Linked DNA regions of Macaca fascicularis. Each later gene encodes a partner of the first gene's protein in a complex. Links are inferred from orthologs where the notes say so. Each region holds a gene or a part of one and is shown in the gene's direction. Other genes may lie near its edges. The genes, in order: BCAS2, RBM22 and CTNNBL1.

Region 1 (7,362 bases):
TTTCACCATGTTGGCCAAGCTAGTCTCGAACTCCTGACCTCAGGTGATCCACCCACCTTGGCCTCCCAAAGTGCTGGGATTACAGGCATGAGTCAGTGCACCGGGCCTGTTTTTTTTTGTTTGTTTTGTTTTTTCAAATTAATGGGCAAATTCAAGTTCAGATGGTGCACTTTTCATTTATTAATGCTATAGCAAATGTCAGTTTGTTTTCTTCAGTTTCTGCTGATGGTTTCAACTGGCACAGAAAGTATTTATTCAGCCTTACAAAACTGTTAAGTTGTATTGTGATACAGTTTATTGACTTGCACAGTATTTCATTACAACCCATTCAGGTATGCATGAACCTGAAGCAGAACACCATTTAAGACTGGTGCTGTATAATATAATTCCTACAGATGTGGGTCCAGGGAATAGAACTGAGCCTTTTTTTAAATGTTAAGCAGGTTACCCTAATGGGGCTTCTACTAGACATCTCTCCATTTGGTCTCTTCTTACACTGCAACCCAGCGGGAACAGTTAATAATTGGATGTTTATAAAATGGGGGTAAAAGGGTTTACTATGATGGATCCTGGCTATCCCTTTAGGAGGAGACCTTTGCGCTTCAGGAATGCTGTCTTCATCTTTGCAGCCTGAAGCTGCTTCATTTCCTTAGGTCTGTTGTGTTTTGTTTCTGTAAAGTGTTATGAATTCTGGATATTTTTGTAAAAGAATCAAGATTTGTATAAAATGTTGTTTACAGATCTTTTAATGAATAAATACATAAAAACCCCACAGATCCCTTGGAGAATTCTTAAGATGTAAAGATCTTTTATGTCACTTAAATCTACAGCTAGCACATTTACCTAATGGTACTTAAGTAATAAGAATTAGTCTTAGATTGATCAGGCTTAATAATGGAGGTCAACATTTCGAGGCTCTTGGCAGACAAAGCCTGGGTCTAGACCGCACACTGGGCAGGGTATATAGTCTGACAACTTTATTTGGTCTTTAACTGCTTAATCAAAGGGAGGCTGCTTAGTCCAGGAGCCATGAAGAAGACAAAGTGCATGGGCAGCAGCTTGAATGGTTTGGAGACAGGAGTGCCATTCTATTACCGTTTAAGTCCTAAAGCCAAAATGGCAGGATTTTTAAGGAACTGAGGTTCCTTTTGATACTCAGACCATAAAGCTTCACAATTTTAATTGGAGACTGGCGCCCAATTCTAGAGCCTCTTTAAGAATTGTACTTATCCAATGCAAAGGTTTTCAGGGTGGCGAGGGGGGAGGATAGTCGGGGTACAGCAAGGAAGTAAAAGAGGAACGACCCCGGGTGCAGTGGCTTACGCCTGTATTCCCCACATTTTAGGAGGCCTAGGCGAGAGGATAGCTTGAGGCCAGCCTTGGCAACATAGGAAGGCTCCAACTCTACAAAAAAATTTTAAAATGGCCGGGCGCTGTGGCTCAAGCCTATAATCCCAGCACTTTGGGAGGCCGAGGCGGGCGGATCACGAGGTCAGGAGATCGAGATCATCCTGGCTAACACGGTGAAAATACAAAAAATACAAAAAATTAGCCGGGCATGGAGGCGGACGCCTTGTAGTCCCAGCTACTAGGAGGCTGAGGCAGGAGAATGGCGTGAACGCAGGAGGCGGAGCTTGCAGTGAGCCGAGATCGCGCCACTGCACTCCAGCCTGGGCGACAGAGTGAGACTCCGTCTCGAAAAAAAAAAAAAAAAATTAAAAATTAGCCAGGCGTGGTGGTGTGCACCTCTAGGCCCAGCGGCTCAGGAGGCTGAGGTGGAAGGATCGCTTGGGCCTGGGGGGGTTGAGGCTGCAGTGAACTATGATCGCGCCACTGCACTCCAACCTGGGCAGCAGAACAAGAGCGTGTGTCCATAATAAAAAAGGAAAGAAGTCCGGCACAGAGGAAGAGAAGATTAAGGGGAGACGGTGGCAGTAAGCAGAGGTGGGAAATCAGTTATCTCTCCCCGTCAAATCCTGCAGCCAGTTCCCTCCGAAAGTGTTAAGGGGCTCCCGTTCCAGATATCAATGTTTTGGAGGAAACGAAAAGCCCTAACTTCAAATAGCCACCATTCGCTGGCAAAAAAAATACAGTAAGCAGAAGACAGGAAATTGAGGCCTTCCGCTGACGCAATGAAGCCAAGACTGACGTCACGTCCGCCCAAAACAAAGCAGCCCGGCAATTTCTAGATACCGGGCGGACCCGCCTTCAAAATTAGCAACTGAGCATGCGCGAACGTCAATATGCCGGGAACGTGATTACATCAGTGTCAGGCGCCGGCGTATCTAAATAGAACTCAGTTTACGCAAACGCAGAAAACGCAGGCAAACCTGAGGTCCTCGGAATGGCGGGCACGGGTTTGGTGGCCGGAGAGGTTGTGGTGGATGCGCTGCCGTATTTTGATCAAGGTTATGAAGCCCCTGGTGTGCGGGAAGCGGTGAGTGCGGGGTGTCTTTGTAGCTGACTCACTGTTCGCTGGCTCGGTACCGAAAGAAACATGTTACAATTTGCCGCTTCTACCCTGGCCCCAATTCTCTTTCTAAGGCTGCAGCGCTGGTGGAGGAGGAAACTCGCAGATACCGACCTACTAAGAACTACCTGAGCTACCTAACAGCCCCGGATTATTCTGCCTTTGAAGTAAGTATGTCTTGACCCCGGGTATGAACGAGGATTCCTGTGAACCTTTATTTTGGATTGAGAGCTTCAGCTACGTAAAAGTGATTTTTAAATTCCAGTTTTAACCATTGCCTGCATAGGTACCAGTCTGTTGAAAACAGCTAGATAGATAAGTCTTCTCCGAGGTTCTTATTCTAAGATCCATAGGAAGACTTTCTGGGACTCCACGACTCACTTAATGCAAAAATTTGTGGCCACAATTCTTTGAGATAGGATCCATGCGTAAATTCTCAAAGGGACCCTCTCCTGCCAAGAGTCACTCTACAGCAGGTGATCTAGAATTTTTTAGTATGTATAAGCCTAATTACCTAAGCTCTTTAGAACCACTGGAGAGTGGCGTATTAAAGTCTAGTTATTTACCAAACGTTTGTGGTATGACTGAAGGGACAAACCATATCCAAGTGTATACTACTCTTTTCTCAGCCTTCTCCTTTTTTCTATAATCTGTCCGATGTTTTTATTAACACAGTTCTGATTAATGTAGGCAAGAACTTTCCCTGATACGAATACTTTCCAAGTGCTAGGTGCCATTCTAGATTCTGAAATCATAGAGATAAAAATATCTGGGTTTTAAAAAAATATGTATTTTGCTGTATTTTAATTTTTCTTTTCTTTATTTAAGACAAGCATCGTCTCCAAAAAAAGATAGGGTTTCTGAATACAGAAAAATACAATACAATGAGGAGCTAGATATATAAAACAGAAAGTTTACAATAGTATGTATAAATGTGTAATAATATGTAAAGGACCTGTAGTGGAGGTATATATAAGGACAAGAGAATTAGAGAAAGGAGTGCCCATGCTTGCCTAGGGAGTCAGATGCTGTTCTACTGCACACAGTGAGTATGATACTATTTTAAATGTATAACCTTGAAGTACACCCAAGATTCTAGTTAGGGTCTAATTAGCTAAGTGAAATGTAAGTTATTTCTAAATTATTGGATTCAAGTATTTCAATATGTACAACTTGGAGGTTTTTTTCCCATTATACCTAATCGTTTATTTATGAAAGGATTGTATTATTAAAAGGCAGTATTTAGCTGGGTGTGGTGGCTCACACCTGTAATCCCAGCACTTTAGGAGGCTGAGGTGTGAGGATCACTTGAGACCAGCCTGTGCAGCATAGTGAGACCCTTTCTCTACAAAAGAAAAACTAAAAAATTAGCCAAGCATGATGGCATGCACCTGTAGCCCAAGCCACTCAGGAGGCTGAGGTGGAAGGATCACTTGAGCCTGGAAGTTCAAGGCTGCTACAGTGAGCCATGATAATACCATTGCGCTCCAGCCTGGCGACAGACTGAGATCCTGTCTCAGAGGGAAAAAAAAAAAAAGATATTATTTACATTAAAGTAACGTGAAAAAATAGTTAAGTTTGTTGTTTTTGTTTGAGACGGAGTCTTACTCTGTCACCCAGCCTGGAGTGCAGTGGTGCCATTTCTGCTCACTGCAACCTCCACCTTCCGAGCTCAAGTGATTCTCCTGCCTCAGCCTCGCGAGCAGCTAGGATTACAGGTGCCTGCCACCATGCCTGGCTAATTTTTGTATTTTCAGTAGAGATGGGGTGTCACCACGTTGGCCAGGCTTTTCTTGAACTCCTGGCCTCAAGTGATCCGCCCACCTCATCCTCCCAAAGTGTTGGGATACGGGGTGAACCACCACGCCCTGCCTTGGCTAAGTTTTAAGTAGAAGACATATGTTTCTATGAACGTGTTTTCCTATGCTTTTTCCAAATATTGTTACCTAGGTGTAGATGTTAACCACGTTAAGAACTAAGTACAGTGGCTCACACCTGTAATCCCAGCACCTTGGGAGGCTGAGGCGAGTGGATCACGAGGTCAGGAAATCGAGACCATCCTCTACTAAAAATACAAAAAATTAACTGGGCATGGTGGCGGGTGCCTGTAGTCCCAGCTACTCAGAAGGCTGAGGCAGAAGAATGGCCTGAACCCGGGAGGCGGAGCTTGCAGTGAGCCAAGATGGCGCCACTGCACTCCAGCCTGGGCGACAGAGCGAGACTCCATCTCATTAAAAAAAAAAAAAGAGAATTAAGTACAGTAATGCTTCTTGGACTGATTTCTGACGTTTTCAAATAACTGCATTCAATCACAGACTTCTTATAATACTTTTGCCAGTTTTTTTCCTTCTCTCAAATACCTTTGTAATTAGTTTACTGATTATTTAATTAGCAAACTCCTGGGTTCAAATGATTCTCCTGTAATTAGTTTACTGATTATTTAATCCTTTCTTTTTTTGAGACAGAGTCTTGCTCTGTCGCCTAGGCTGGAGTGCATGCAACTCCTTGGCTCACTGCAACCTCTGCCTCCTGGGTTCAAGCGATTCTCCTCCCCCAGCCTCCCAAGTGGCTGGGATTACAGGCATGCACTACCATGCCCAACTAATTTTTGTATTTTTAGTACAGACAGGGTTTCACCATTGTGGCCAGGCTGATCTCGAACTCCTGACCTCAAGTGATTCACCTGCCTCGGCCTCCCAAAGTACTGGGATTACAGGTGTGAGCCACCACACTTGGCATCCTTTCTTAGTAATAGTTGGTAATGTATACTGGGCTCACTGTCTTTCTTGGTGCACAAAACAGCTCTATAAACTATATAACTATGTTCACTATCCCCATTTTTTTAGCTGGGAAAACTGCAGCTTAGAAAGGCTCATTGACTAAGACCTTAACCATTCTTCAAACTGCCTTTGAAATTACTCTTTCATTAATTCACTTAACAACTATTTACGAAGGTCTATTCCATGCTGGATATTGGAGAACAGTATCGGCAGGGTCCATACTTATGAACCTTACAATCTAGAGTGTTGAGACGGACAATAAATAGATCAGAAAAATTGTTGATAAATGCTGCACAGAGAATGATAGTGATAAAGTGACTGGGTGACTCTAGGTTGGGTGGTTGAGGAAGGCCTCTCAAAGCTGAGATGAGACTACTCCATGAGCAGGGATTTCCCCCACCGACCCCGCCGCCCATGACTTAGCTCCATGAACACTGGCTTAGTCTTTGGAGAGAGCTGAGCTAAAATTCCAGATCTATCACTTACTGAGCATGTGAGTTAGTTAAGGGTTCCTCCTGTGCTGTATGGCTCAAGACTACTTATACATTTTTATACTGCCTCTTGTTTAATTATTAGCTGTTACTCTTTGTCACTGCAGAATTTTCTAGCTAAAATGCCTTGGTATTTTTTGCAGGAAACTAGATAACTACATTTTCTTAAGATTATGTGTAATTTAGCAGTAGCGCCTGCAAAATGCTTTCTCCAGAAAGAAATGCTTAATACAAATTTTTTTTTTTTTTTTTTTTTTTTTAGATGGAGTCTCACTCTGTTGCCAGGCTGGAGTGCAGTGGCGCGATCTTGGATCACTGCAGCCTCCGCCTCCCGGGTTCAAGAAGTTCTCCTGCCTCAGCCTCCCAAGTAGCTGGGATTACAGGCACGTGCCATCATGCCCAGCTAGTTTTTGTATTTTTAGTAGATACAAGGTTTCACCATCTTGGCCAGGATGGTCTCAATCTCTTGACCTCGTGATCCACCCACCTCGGCCTCCCAAAGTGCTGGGATTACAGGCGTGAGCCACCTCACCCGGCCTAATACAAAACTTTTAAACATTAATGCAGGCTTCTGTAAGGCCTTTGATACTTATTCTCTAGTCTAATTGTTAAGATAGTTGAAGCCCTCAGAAAATTAAAATTACATGGAATAACTGAAGTATTACTACAAACAAATATTTTAAGCAGTTCTTTATACTCAGGGTAGGAAATGTGCAGAACGGAAATGGGATAAGATATTGGCCAAAACATCCCTAAAGAGGAATAGCCATACTACATTTACTTGGCAAACAGTAAAATTGCTAGAGAAGATAGTGAATATAAAGAAAAGACACTTTGGGAGACTGAGGCGGGCAGATCACCTGAGGTCAGGAGTTCAAGACCAGCCTGGCCAACATGGTGAAACCCTGTCTCTACTAAAAATACAAAAATTAGCTGGGCGTGGTGGCAGGCACCTGTAATCCCAGCTACTCGGGAGGATGAGGCAAGAGAATCGCTTGAACCTGGGAGGCAGAGGTTGCAATGAGCCAAGATTGCGCCATTGCTCTCCAGCCTGGGGGACAAGAGTGAGACTTCATCGTGAAAAAAAAAAAAAAAAATTCTTAGATTTCTGGAGGCTGGAAAGTGTAAGTAAGGTTCACAGGCTGCATCTGGTGAGGGCGTTCTTGCTGATGTGTACTTGGTGTACAGTCCTGAAGCAGCACAGAGCATTACATGGCACGTAGGGGCACACAAGAGAAAGACAAACTGGCTTTTATAACATACCCACTCTGGTGATAACTCATTAATCCATGAATGGGTTGAGCCCTCATAACCCAATCACCTCTTAAAGACCCCACCTCTTAATACTATTACATTGGGGATTAAGTTTCCATATGAGTTTCAGAGGGGACAAACATTCAAACCATAGCACTGTCCAACTGATGGTAACATGCTTCTGGAATTGAGAACATCTGAGTTAGGATTAATCCTTTTCTCTGTGGGCTCCTTAATACATGCCACTTTTCCTGGCTAAGCTGAATGTGAAGTGACTGTGTGTTTGTGTGTGATTCTAGAGAGCATTTAACTCAGAGAAGAATTAGGGAAAGGGAAATGATTCATTATAATAGGTAGTGTAGCTTAA
Region 2 (6,741 bases), on another chromosome or scaffold:
AGGTGCTAGCTTAAACTGTTTCTGCTTTAAAATCTAAAGGTCATACAACCAATGTGGTGTATCTGATGTCTTAGAACTATGAAATTTAGAAGAGCATGAATAAATTGTAGTTTTTACTTACAATTGAGCCTTGGAAACTAAATTGCTATGCCATACAATATGGATGCTGGCCTTAAACATTTCTACCTGAGAAGTACATCTTCACTGCCATGATTTAAACACTTGACTCTCAATGTATAGTTGAAGTCAAAGTAAGGTCAGACTACTAAAGGGTGTGTATGTTTTGGTTAAGACTGCCAAGCATCTGTATTAGGAGTTCTTAAATTTGGGATTAGTTAACCCTACCCCCTAAAAAATAATATATGTGCTTTCTCTGGAGCTAGGTCCATAGCTTTAATCAGATTCTCAGTGGAATACAATACCCCAAATGTGTTAAGAATCATTGACCTAGAGAGGGGTAATCATGTGTCCCTTTCTAGGGGGCAGGAGGGGGCGGATCATGTCAAGAGTTTTTATTTATAAGGAAAGTTTGGCATCCTAGATGGCCTAATGGCTTTTAGGAGGCTAGGAATTCCTTTTGTCATACAGTAAATCTCTTGGTATTAGGTCTATTTTGGTAATTGTATTTTGGTAGAAACCATAGTTTCTAGTTCAAAAGGCACTTCAGAATGTGTATCTAGGACTTTAATATGTAGCTATTCTTGGAAGATACCATTTTTTCACCTTTGTTTCACCTTTATGCCTTGTTTTTTTCTTGAATCATAGACATGAGAAGCCTACAGATCCAGATGACCCCCTTGCTGATCAGAATATTAAAGATCGATATTACGGAATCAATGATCCTGTAGCTGACAAGCTTCTAAAGCGGGCTTCAACAATGCCTCGGCTGGACCCACCAGAGGATAAAACTATCACTACACTATATGTTGGTGGTCTAGGTGATACCATTACTGAGACAGATTTAAGGTTTGTGGGTATAAGTTAAAGAGTTATTTTTGCCTTTAACTGCCCTGGGATAATTTATTTGCAAAAACTGCAAGGATGATCATTCTGTACAAAATCCATTTTTCTTTAGTCTCTCTACTGTTAGTATCATGCTGACTGGAATTTTTGTAAAATTGTCCTTTATGGTGCCACAGTAATAATGTGCTTATCTGGCTGGGCACAGTGCCTCATGCCTGTAATCTCAACACTTTGGGAGGATCTCTTGAGCCGAGGAGTTTGAGACCAACCTGAGCAACATAGTGAGACCCCATCCCTCTTAACAAATCAAAAAAATTAGCCGGGTGTGGTGGCTTGTGCCTGTAGTCCCAGCTGTTTGGGAGACTGAGGCAGGAGGATGGCTTGAGCTTGGGAGATCAAGGCTACAGTGAGCTGTGATTGCGCCACTGCACTCTAGCTTAAGCAACAGAGTGAGACCCTATCTCAAAACCAAAGCACAAAAAGTGCTTATCCATCCTGGCGTATGGTAATAATGACACAGAATTCTATTTGACCTAACAGCCAGGTTTTAAAGGATGGCACGCATCCAAGTATGATTAATTATGTAGAGGAGGGAGAGCTTTGTGATGATAAAACTCTTATGGTTTAAATTGTTGGCTTTTTAAAGAGACTGGCATTTGATACATTTGTATTATTTTTGGCTTGTATTATGCTTGGCTAGATGAGACATCTGGGCAGATAGTAATGGAAATTACCTCTTCCAAAGAGATAAAGTGGAGAAGAAACTCCTGTAAGTTTATAACCTGCCCTTGGTAGCCTGTCTCCGTTAAACCCTATCTGAGTGAGCTAGACAACCCCCAGGGGTTGGCAGACTTTTGCTGTAAGAGGCTGGATAGTGAATATTTTAGGCATTGTGGGCCACATGCAGTCTCTGTCACATATTCTTGTTTTAAACACTCTTGGCTCATGGGCCTTGAGAGCTGTAGTTTGCCAACCCCTTATCTAGGATTTAGGAACTTTAAGGAACCTATTAGAACTCCCTTTCCTCCATGGGGAAAAAACCCTGAGATGTTTGAGAACCTTTATTTACTCATTTCTCTTTCCTTCTCTCAATAAGCAGCACCCACATTAGGACAAGATATGGGAGGGAAGACCTGAGGGTAGTTAGGTAGATAACCTTGGGGCCCACCTGCCTAGTGGTGTGTCACTGAAAGTTAATCCATTTTCAGTCTCTTGGGAACATCTTTGTTCACTCCCATTTTCATTTTTTTTCTGCCTGTATCCCTTCAGAAATCATTTCTACCAGTTTGGAGAGATCCGGACGATCACTGTTGTGCAGAGACAGCAGTGTGCTTTCATCCAGTTTGCCACAAGGCAAGCTGCAGAAGTGGCTGCTGAGAAGTCCTTTAATAAGTTGATTGTAAATGGGCGCAGACTGAATGTGAAATGGGGAAGGTGAGAATTAAACTATTTTTAAGTGACATTTTGCTCACATTTTTAAGAAACTATGTCATTGTCTGGAGACTAGGAGGCTATTGATTAACAGGCTTAAATGAATAGGATCTTTAAAGAGATCTTTCAAAAGTCACTCTCTGTTTGATACTTGATTCCTGTGGATGTTGGGAGAACCCTGCTTTGGAAATGTATTCAGGGGTTTGTTGTATAATCTGCTCCTTTGAAGTTTCATGTTTTTGTGACTAGCTATTATAGGCCAGGTATAATAGCCAGGGCATGAAAGGTGAGTTTCAGGGTTTATAAATGAATTAGACCTAGATTCTGCCTTTGGAGGCTGATTGTCCAATGGAGAAGATAAAACAAGGAAGAATCGCTATTTTAAGTTTAAAAGTGATGATTGCATAAGAGAGACACAGGCGAAAGACTCAGTTCAAAGGGGGAACATGTCTCCGACTTGGAACCAGGGAAGAGATGGCTAATAGCAGCATCTGCCTTTGTGGAGAGCTCCCTATGTGGTAAGCACAGTGCTAAACATGTATGTGTTGCCTCTTCTGGTCCTTATGATAGTTCTAGCAGGTTTTGAACCCAGGTCTTTTCTGGTGTCAAAACCTTTGCTCTTATTCACTGTGCACAGTGGCATTTATGGGAAAAGTGTGTGCTGAGGAGGAGGTAGGGCAAAGGAACTCCATTGGACTGAGGAATTTAGGAAGCAGACGTGTGAGATAAGGTGGGCCAAAGTGCCAACTGTATGCATGTGTGTTTCCCAGATCCCAAGCAGCCAGAGGAAAAGAAAAAGAGAAAGACGGAACTACAGACTCTGGGATCAAACTAGAACCTGTTCCAGGATTGCCAGGAGGTGAGTGCAGACTTCCTGCTGACTTCAGAAGCTCCGTCTGCCCTGATGTTCCTATTTTGGAAGACGGGACCCAGGTCTTGTTCTCGTTGCCACTCTGCTCTCCCAATAGGACCTCTGAGAATGTAAAGGTGGTAAAAACTGTTGCACAGTTGTTCTCCCCTCTATGTGTTGACTATGTTCTCTCCTCCAGCTCTTCCTCCTCCTCCTGCGGCAGAAGAAGAAGCCTCTGCCAACTACTTCAACTTGCCCCCAAGTGGTCCTCCAGCTGTGGTGAACATTGCTCTGCCACCGCCCCCTGGTATTGCTCCACCTCCTCCCCCAGGTAACTTCCATCTTCCTTCTTAGCCCAGAGAAATCCTTGTGAAAGTTCTGTCTCATAAACGTCACCATCACGTTCAACACGTCCAAATCCTGTGAGTTTGCTCTGTAGAAGTCTATAAGTAAAGTTGATCTGTTGGGATTTCTGATATTTTTTTTTCTCCTGCTCTGCCAAGGAGAAGAAAGGGGCCAGTTTTCTAAAGATCCGAGTATATGTGTCATCAGAGTAAGATTATTAGATTACAAAGATCTATCACCAATTTGTTCCCTTTTCTAAACTGAATGCTAATGGATGCCCTAGAGCACTATTGCTCAGTGTGGGCTGTGAGTGGGTGTCATTTTACAAAGTGTTTATCATCTGTCTGCCACCAGATCAGGAGCTTGTGCCGAAATGTAAATCAGTGAACCCCTTCCTTCATTGAGAAAGTCTTGTTACCAAAAAAACTGTCAGATGAACTAAACTCTGCCTGATCATATGATTTACATTCTGACTCAAGCTCTTTGTCTTTTCAGTGGCCAGAAATAGGTGGAAGACTGGCACTTTGTATAGCACTGCTCTAGACAGCGTTAACAGTGGAAGGAAATCACAGGTAGCCAGTTCTCCTGTGGCAGAGAGCCCATACTCTGAAGTGAATCTGGTTTCTGAACCCCCTCCATCCTGGTGTCAGGCATTAAGGTTAATGATGACACAGTCTTGCCATCAGCCTGATTTCTTCCTTATCTCCCAAATCCTGACTGACTCCTGTCTGGTAGGATTTGGCGTGTTGGATACATAGCAGAGACTCAGACGACATACTAGGCGATACCTTGTGTGCTCTGGAGTTTTTTGGACTTGGCGGGGAAAGGTTTCTAAAACCAAGGAAATAACAGGTGGAAGCAAGTTTTGTGAACTGACATTTGCTTAAGCCCGGTGTCAACCTTGATTTATGTGTAGATGGTTTTAACCTTAGCAAGATTGAGAGGTTTGAAAGGTTATCAAGGAAACTGCAAGCCTAACACATTTGTTCTTTCGTATCTGCAGGTTTTGGGCCACACATGTTTCACCCAATGGGACCACCCCCTCCTTTCATGAGGGCTCCAGGACCAATCCACTATCCTTCTCAGGACCCTCAGAGGATGGGAGCTCACGCTGGGAAACACAGCAGCCCCTAGCACCTTGTCACCACTCTGGGGCTCTGTGGAAGAAAGGGCACTTAAAACTCCCAGTAAATCTTGGAATAAATATATTTGTCCTTCCCTTGTAGTTTCCATGGTAGCTGAATGTGCTCAGATGTGGGCATTCGGAGACTGACAGCCATGCTTTCCTACACATGTTCAAAGGATTGATGGACCGTAAATAAGCTGCCGTTAACACATCTGGTTACTGCTATAACACGACTAATAAAGCCTAATGCCTGTTCCCCTTACCTGTGTGGGGGACAAGCAGATGAGTGAATTGGAATGTCCAGCAGAGTTACCATCCCAATTATATGTTCATTTTGTATATTTTTTGGGCGGGGGAATAATTGACCTGCGGTAAAAAAAACCTTTGACCATTTTTATGTCCATTGAGTATTTTCCTTTTCATCCTGTTAAAAAAAAAAGATAACTAGTACTAATCATTGGAGTGGCCTAAGTGTGATTTAACTCTTTGGAAGTCACACCCTCAGAAAGATGAGTAGAAACCAGCACCAGCACAGCCCAGATCTTTTCTTTCCTCTCCTTTTCCTCGTTTATTCCTAAAGGAATCTGACCATTTTAAGTCTCTACGGCCCAAAAAAAAGACAAAACTAAAAATTCCTTTTTATTCCTGTCAACTGGATGGAAACAAATTTAATGGAGCTGTGTACCATTGAAGAAACCTGGTGTCTGGCATGAAATTACTGTAAAGAACTTCCTGTGAAACACGTTCTTTAACAAATGAAAAGCATTGGAGCGTGTGAATGAAAGACTTGTGACCTCCTGCTGGGACTCTGATAGTCGTCAGCATTCACCTTCGTGTGTCTTCAGTGTCTCATTGTCATCCCTGCTTCTGTTTGGTCTTAGAGTGTTTGGATATAACTGAATTGTAGATGGTAAAGGAAATTTGATGTGTTTTTGTTTTTAAATAATTAAAACGGGTCAATTTTTGAAATGTTGTCATGGGTTTATTTCTAGATTCCTCTTTATCCTTTGGTAGCTGAACTCGAGGTCAGTGGAAGTTATTTAATAGAAATGAGTTATATATTGTAAATTTTTTAAATGTTGCTTTAGACTTTTGATTATATCCATTCCATGATGATTTACTTATTTTACTATTTTTTTACCTCAGCCTATTCCTGGGTTAGATTCCATGATGATTTAAAAGGCCCAGACCTTTTTAGTACTTACTTCAAAGGGTGATTGTGAGGTTGAAATAAGATAGTGCACAGAAACACTTAGCATAGATCCTGGTGTATGGTGGTTGATAAAGGGTAACTTTAAGAAGTCACCCAGCTGGGTGCATGCTGATAGTGCCAGCTACTTAAGAGGCTGAGGTGGGAGGATTGCTTGAGGCCAGCAGTTCAAGGCCAACCTGGGCAACATGGTGAGATCCTGTCTCTAAAAAATAAAATTTAAAAGGTCATCCTTAGGCAAGTCATTTTAAAAGGAAACATTTATTATAAATTCATTTTTGCTAAGGCAACTTTTTTTTTTTTGAGATGGAGTCCTGCTCTGTCACTAGGCTGGAGTGCAGTGGTGTGATCTCAGCTCACTGCAACCTCTACCTCCTGGGTGCCTCCTGGGTTTAAGCGATTCTCCTGCCTCAGCCTCCTGAGTAGCTGGAATTACAGGCATGCGCCACCACACCTAGCTAATTTTTATATATTCAGTAGAGATGCGGTTTCACCATGTTGGCCAGGATGGTCTCCATCTCCTGACCTCATGATCCACCCACCTCAACCTCCCAAAGTGCTGGGATAACAGGCGTGAGCCATGGTGCCTGGCCATTTCCTTAAGCCAATTTTATGCTACTTTTATCTAAAATGTTTACTTCCAAGAAGGACATGCCCCATATGGCACCCTGTTTTAGATTTGCAGAATTTTTGTTTTTCTCTAGAGAACTTAAATTGCCTTTTTTTTTTTAAGATTTAAAAATCTATACATAGAAATTTTCATTTTATTGCTAGTAATGTCAAATGTGAAGCAATGTAGGATACTTCCAAGTATTT
Region 3 (6,741 bases), on another chromosome or scaffold:
TTAGCTTGATGAGGGAGACGTGCACAGAAAACTGAAATGATGCTGAATATTGCTTGATTAGGTGCAACTCTTCCTCTTTAAGTACAAAACCAGTGTCTAAACAGATCTGTGAATGGTGGTAAGGTGACGGAAGTGTTAGTTCCAAAATAAATACTTCCCTTGTCTTTTCCAAGTACAGAAATTCTTTGTCATTTCAAAAACACAGATAGGTAGCAAAGGTTGCTGCTGATTAATAGTCATTGTTTACATGCCTGCATTTTAAGGATCATGGACACCATAAATAAAAACACATCACTGAGACTCGCTCCTCTCTGTGCACCTTCATCCAAGGGGCAGTGATAATGGTGAGATATTTAAGTCTCACTACCGAAGCAACAGTGAGGACAGCCATGAAAAATAGTCTGTGCAGTAGATGTGTCCCCTCTGAAACTCCCAAGTAGCAGACCATGCAGCAGGGAAAGAATTGTGGGTAGTAATTTGGGTGTTAAAATATTAACACATTTTTGCATATTTAATGTGGTTTCCTTTTTAAATAATAGGCAGATTATGGCATGCAAGCAGATAGGTTTATGATTTCAAATTAAATTTTAAGCATTAAAAAAATCCAGAAGGAACTACTTTGTGATAAATATATTCAGTTAATCAAGAATTGCTTTCTTTTCAACTTCTCTGCTCATATATTAACTAATTTATAGCCTAATTTCATGATTGTAGCTTGTGCATTAAGCTTCATGGTGAGTTTTAGTCTTAAAAGTTCAAAACTCTCATTCTTCTAGTTCACATTTGAGTACTATGGGCGAGACATATATAATCTCTGGACTCAAAATGGGAAATCTTGGAAGTCTTTACCGAGGAGGTAACCTTAATACCTGGGCATTAAGAGTGTGAGAACCATTGTTTCAGTCTGTCACTTTACTTGGTTCTGGTCTCTTGAGAGCAGAGGCCGACGTTTTTCCCCTTAACTGCCTTTTCCCTTTCTAACTTCTCCTTCTCTCTAACTCAGATCGTAGTACTCGTGAAAAATTTGTCCTGGGGAAGAAAGCAAGACCTCTTAACATTTTTCTCATTTCTCCTATTTCCCCATAGGCAAAGATGCCTTTCGATGCCAACAAACTGTATTGCAGTGAAGTGCTGGCCATACTGCTCCAGGACAATGATGGTGAGGCGCCCTCTCAGTATTGATATTCTGTTAGGATAGGAGCCAGGCTTGTTTCAGATCATGACAGCAAGCTCTCTTGCCTTTGGCATCCCCTTGCTCTCCCTCTCGCTCCCTGTGCTGCTTTTGTACTCTGTCAAGCTGTATTGATTTTGTTTGCTGATGTATCAGTGTTAGACGGCTGTAAAATCTGACAGTTAGGTTCATTTTTTTTTTCTTCCTCTATTTTTTCCCCCTTTTAGAAAACAGGGAATTGCTTGGGGAGCTGGATGGAATCGATGTGCTTCTTCAGCAGTTATCTGTGAGTAATTCTTATGCTTCCTGTCTGCTCTAAGATACATGGCTGGCTTTGAATGGGAGGTGGAGCTGGAAATTGTGGGAAGGAATGAGCCATGTGCTGCAAGCCATATGGCGTATGTTGGCAGGTTTGAGGGTTATATGGAGGTACATGGTTTGCCTCCTTTTCTTAGTCATTTGCTCTTTATGACCAGACATCACTGTGTGTCAGATATGAATTTTCTTCGTCTTCTGATATGATATTGTCAACTCAAAAAAGATGTGCCTCCTGCTTAAGTGTGTATGTTCTGGGCCAGGCATACCAAATTATTTTCATTTGACCCACTCCCAAGATTGTTCACCAACCTTCCTTTCAGTCTGCTGTGAAAATGGAGTATGTTCATTTAGGATCTGAATAAGCTCAAGGAGTCCAAGTTCCACTGCAGTGGGGTGGGGGTCAAGGGGAGGATAGGGGAGGATGTGGTGCTGAAGGCTGGAGTGAGAACTTGGAAACTGCCATTTTCTCACTGTAAGAAATGTAAATCCAGTTGAAATGTTATTCTGCTGGCATTCTGAAAATACTGTTAAGATTTCCTCTTACAAGTTTCATCTGTGTTATTCTAAAAACAGGACTGAAAATAGATCATTTGGATAAAATCTTGAGAGTGTTGGGAGAGTCTGAGATGTCAGTTTGCATACAGCTTCCATCTTGGTGCCAGCAGCCTGAGTGGCTTGGCCTCCACCCCAAAAATAGAGCTTTGAAATGTGAATCTGTTTCCAGTTCTGGGAAGGTGCTTAGTCCTTTTCCTGTGAGACTATTGATCTTCTCCTAGTAGACTATATGGGTATGCATATACTGTTTAAAGGCTTCTCTTAACATGCCTTACATCTCTGGCAAAAAGAAGACTTCTGCTGTAAGCACTTCCCATGAATTAAAACCCCAACTCCCCTGTGAGGGAATTCAGTGGCCTTGATTGTCAGGAAACGCTTCCTTATATTGAGCCATGTTTCACCCCCCTGGATTGTGGTTGCTTTTAGAAGGGGAAGAAATGAGATATGGTTGGGTTGGGCAAGTGGAGGGCTTTGAGGGTAGTTGGCAAAGTTGTTTCTCATCCTGGATAATGATTTCAGGGGTGTTCACTTCATTCATTTAGTTTTATATGTCCTTTATGGAGTTGTTCTGTATCTGTGTTATATTTCACAATAAAAAGGTTTTGGTTTTTATTTGGGTTTTGGTTTTTTAAAAAATCTGCTTGCCTGAAACTGTCAATTACTGATGGACCCAGTGGTCAGTTGAGTGTTTTGGCTTTTTTTTTTTTTTTTTTTGCATTTATTTAATATATGTGAATTATTTAGTTTCTCTAAAATGGAAACTGATGAGAATTTTGTTTGGTGAGCTTCTGTTTCCTCAACCGTAGAGTTATGACCCACAGGTTTTAGAAATTGTTGGATGGAGGCTCATGAAAAAACGTTCTCTTAATAGTTCTGTGCTTTGTTCTGTTTTTGCTTGACAGGTGTTTAAAAGACACAATCCCAGCACGGCTGAGGAGCAGGAGATGATGGAGAATCTGTTTGATTCCCTCTGCTCCTGTCTAATGCTTAGTTCTAACCGTGAGCGCTTCCTGAAGGGCGAGGGTCTTCAGCTGATGAATCTCATGCTCAGGTATGTTTTGAATGTCCTAGTTTTCCCACCTTTTTTGCCTGACTTTTCACTGTTAGCCTGAATTCAAGAGCATGTAGCTATGGTCATTTATTCTGTTGGGTTTCCTAGACTTTACCCTGAAGAGTAAAGTCTTCAAGCATGAGGATGTGTTTGTGTAGGTATGTGGTCTTTCCTAAAGTTAGAGTAGACGAATAAAAAGTATATTGTGTTCTGTTTGTGCCCTACTGTGGTGGTTGCTAATATGTCCGCTCCATTGAAAGACATTGGTGTTTTTCCTCTCCTTCCCATAGTGTGTTAGTTTTGGGGAAATCTAGCCATTACTTCTAAACTTGAACTGATTTTCTGTATATATCACATAGACCTATCTATGCCATATGTTTTTCTGTATTTTTATTGAAAGCAGTATATCATTTGTATTTTTCACTCCTCATTCAGTAATGAGTTGTACATGTGCTGTATGCCTAGCTTAGGAAATATGAAAATGTGCAAGATAGTTCCAGAAACTTTTATTTATAGTACTTGCCTTGTATGTCTTATTATTTATACTCTAATTCCTGAAATTGGATCTTATATTAGTTTCACAGTTATTTTGTAGAATCCTAAAGTTAGAAGCAAAAAGGGAAGAGGAAGCTTATATTTATAATTCTTGAGACCCTGTCTAGGAAGGGGAGTAGAGAAGTGTGTGGGGGAAGGCTGAGAGGATAACCAGAGTGTGCCATAGGGTCAAGGGACTTTAAAAAAAAAAATGAGCATGTTTATGTGGTTGGAAGATTCTAGTCATTATGAAATTGTGCCCTACAGAAGGAGGAAGTTGAGATTTAAAGAAAAAAACAAGAAAGAAAGAAATGGAGCCAGAGTCTGCTGTCTTAAAACTTCAAGTATACTGAAAGCCCTGTTGAACTAAGATATTTCTTTGGAAATGTTTTTCAGAAATGTGATATATATTTGTTAAATAGAATTTAGATACTAAAATACAAAACTGCTATTAAAACATTGACAAGGTACTATGTTAAGTGCTGGGCATACACAGAAATACCTAAGACAGAATTTCTGTCTCCACAAAGTTAGAAAAACAGTTCTGTGACCTAAACACAGCCTGTCTTTGGGTGTATATTTTCTTTTAGTCTTTTTTCTATAATTTTTAACAACTTTTTAAGCCTGCCACACATACGATTTTCTTTATTGCGACATTTCAAACATAGCATGCTGTTTCCCATGCTGTGAATAATCTTCATGGGAGTTTTCAGTAACTGCATCATGGCCTCCAAGGGACTGTGGCTTAGTTAGTATTCTTCTGTTGTTGGCGTTGAGGATATTTCCAGTGTTTTGCTATTATAACAAATTCTACAGTGACCATTTTTGTGTTTAAAAGGATGTTAGGATTATCCAGGTACAGTATGTTCTCCCTTAACATCATCAATAACATTCTTGGAAACCACAACTTTAAGCGAAATGATGTATAATGAAACCAGTTTTTCTGATCATTGTTACAACGGTATTATTTGAGGATCTGACCTGCTATATCCCGTTTTACTTAAAGTTGCCATTTCCAAGTCTATCTGTGATGTTAAGTGATGACTTGTTGTGTATTATTTCTAAAACATCTTAAAAGGCTTCTGAAGGGCTGGAGGCACAGTAGACCTCTTCATTTGTCCAGTGCGTACCAGACCTTGCATTGACCAGAAGTCTTCCTTTAAGGAATTGCTTTTAAAAACAATTTTTTTTTAAAGTGCAGAGAGGGGCATGAGAAATTACTCAGAGGCCTTTTGTGTTTAGCTGATTTTTGCTAGTTTTACTCTCTTGAGTCTTTTGTTTATCTCCCTTACCCTTCTAATTGCTTGTCCTTTTGTTGAAATGACCCACCTTCTCTCAAGTAAATAGCATAAATAGAAGATGCATTTGGCTTCTTGAGTCTTCTAACCTTAACACAATGGTCTGAAGAGACTTTTCCTTAAGCTTCTTAAAGGTCTGAATTGCCAGTGTCTTTGGATGGTTGAGTGCAAATATGAAGTGATATATTTCTGTAGCATATGGCTTGGTATTGCGTAGCAGTGGGGAGCTGAATAAATAACCAGAAACATGGATTATTCAAACAGAAATGCTGAGATTCAGGGAGGCTAATTAAAGGAGAGCTCCAAAAGACTTAGAAACTGTACCTCTCTAGATCTCCTAACTTTTCATTTTTGAATGCTGAAGTTGCTGTTATATTCATTCTTTTGCATTAATTAGCCATATTAGCAGATTCAGCATTTCCTTTTTTCTCTTTCCCATACTCTTTGTTCTGTGTTATTTTTCTTCTTCAGACTCCCAAATGGAAAGTTTAATTGGGATGGAATATTTTTTTCCATACTATAGTCACCCTTTCTGATCTTTAGTAAGAGCTGCCAGGTGGCTCTTTGTCTAGAGAGAGCCTATTCAAGACTAAGAAGCTGTAACACTAGAGGTTCAGGAAAGTTTCTGTGGTTCCATTGCCCCTAAATACAAATCTTTACTTTGACTCAGTCATTCATCAGACAGTTGTGAAATGCCACGTGGAGAGGTGGCAGTATGGAGGAGGGTGGAAGAATGGGCCTGGGACTTGTAAGTGTGGGTTTGGAACATGCTGTTTCACTTATTAGCTCTGGATATTTGGTGAGTTACTTTAACCTTTGTGACCTTCTCATTCTCAGTTTTTCATCTGAAAACTGGCACTAATAATACCATATTTACAGGGATTTTGACAGAATTAAACTCTATAAAGTATCTGGGAGAATTCTATAGTTGCAAAACACTGCTAAGGTACTATGTTAACTTTCTATGTTAAGTGCTAGGTTTATACAGAGATGCACAAAACAGGGTTCCTGCCTCTAAGAAACTCAAAGTCTAGTGAGGGAAGCACACATTAAATAACTATGATATAATTTAATATGGTGACTCTTCAGAAGAACAGTTACTTTTGCATGTATGTACTCAGTGAATTTTTTTCCTTTCTGATTATTGATAAGGAAAGATCACAAACAAGATACTCATTGATACATACTCCCTCCTTCCCACATATGCCCTCCTTCCCACACATATGTGCACACACACACAAGCATATGTTCGCTACCAATTTAATATTTTTATCTACTTTATTGAGGCATAATTTTTATACAACAAAATGTATGCATTTTAAGTGTACAGTTTTGACAGATGTTTCCACCGCCACAGTGAAGATGTAGAACAGCACTATCAAGTCGAAATGTAATGTGAGATAGGTAATTTTACATTTTTAGTAGCTACCACATTTAAAGGGTTAAAAGAAACAAAAATAATTTTAATAATGTATTTAACACAGTCAAAAATTATTTCAACATGTAATCAATATAACAAAATTATTAGTAAGCCATTTCACATTCATTTTTTTGAGACTAAGTTTTCAAAATCCAGTGAACATTTTACATTTACATCCCAATTCAGATGCTAAATTTTCATCAGAATACTTGATTTGTATTTAGATTTCATAAAATTTAGAGTTGAAAACAGATTCTCATACTTAAGTTTGTCCAAAGAAACTTAAATGTTTTCCAATAAGTCCGGTATCAATTTTTAAATTTTAAACTTAAATTTATTTAAATTGTATTTAAAATTTAGTTTCTCAGTTACAATAGCCACAGTTCAGATGCTC

Evidence for each region.
Region 2: BCAS2 (region 1) and RBM22 share a complex: the UniProt entries of both Homo sapiens proteins name them as parts of the postcatalytic spliceosome P complex. The link is inferred for Macaca fascicularis from reciprocal best matches to the Homo sapiens genes BCAS2 and RBM22.
Region 3: BCAS2 (region 1) and CTNNBL1 share a complex: the UniProt entries of both Homo sapiens proteins name them as parts of the PRP19-CDC5L splicing complex. The link is inferred for Macaca fascicularis from reciprocal best matches to the Homo sapiens genes BCAS2 and CTNNBL1.

The regions. Positions count from the first base shown.
Region 1 is NC_088375.1:119,787,064-119,794,425, forward strand, and holds the start of BCAS2 (pre-mRNA-splicing factor SPF27), read left to right. Parts: upstream 1-2,320; 5' UTR 2,321-2,344; coding exon 2,345-2,437; intron 2,438-2,544; coding exon 2,545-2,637; intron 2,638-7,362. UniProt on the Homo sapiens protein: Required for pre-mRNA splicing as component of the activated spliceosome. Component of the PRP19-CDC5L complex that forms an integral part of the spliceosome and is required for activating pre-mRNA splicing.
Region 2 is NC_088380.1:157,572,585-157,579,325, reverse strand, and holds the end of RBM22 (pre-mRNA-splicing factor RBM22), read left to right. Parts: intron 1-765; coding exon 766-966; intron 967-2,232; coding exon 2,233-2,397; intron 2,398-3,164; coding exon 3,165-3,253; intron 3,254-3,443; coding exon 3,444-3,575; intron 3,576-4,592; coding exon 4,593-4,723; 3' UTR 4,724-5,684; downstream 5,685-6,741. UniProt on the Homo sapiens protein: Required for pre-mRNA splicing as component of the activated spliceosome. Involved in the first step of pre-mRNA splicing.
Region 3 is NC_088384.1:93,894,508-93,901,248, forward strand, and holds part of CTNNBL1 (beta-catenin-like protein 1), read left to right. Parts: intron 1-1,086; coding exon 1,087-1,159; intron 1,160-1,398; coding exon 1,399-1,457; intron 1,458-2,946; coding exon 2,947-3,095; intron 3,096-6,741. UniProt on the Homo sapiens protein: Component of the PRP19-CDC5L complex that forms an integral part of the spliceosome and is required for activating pre-mRNA splicing.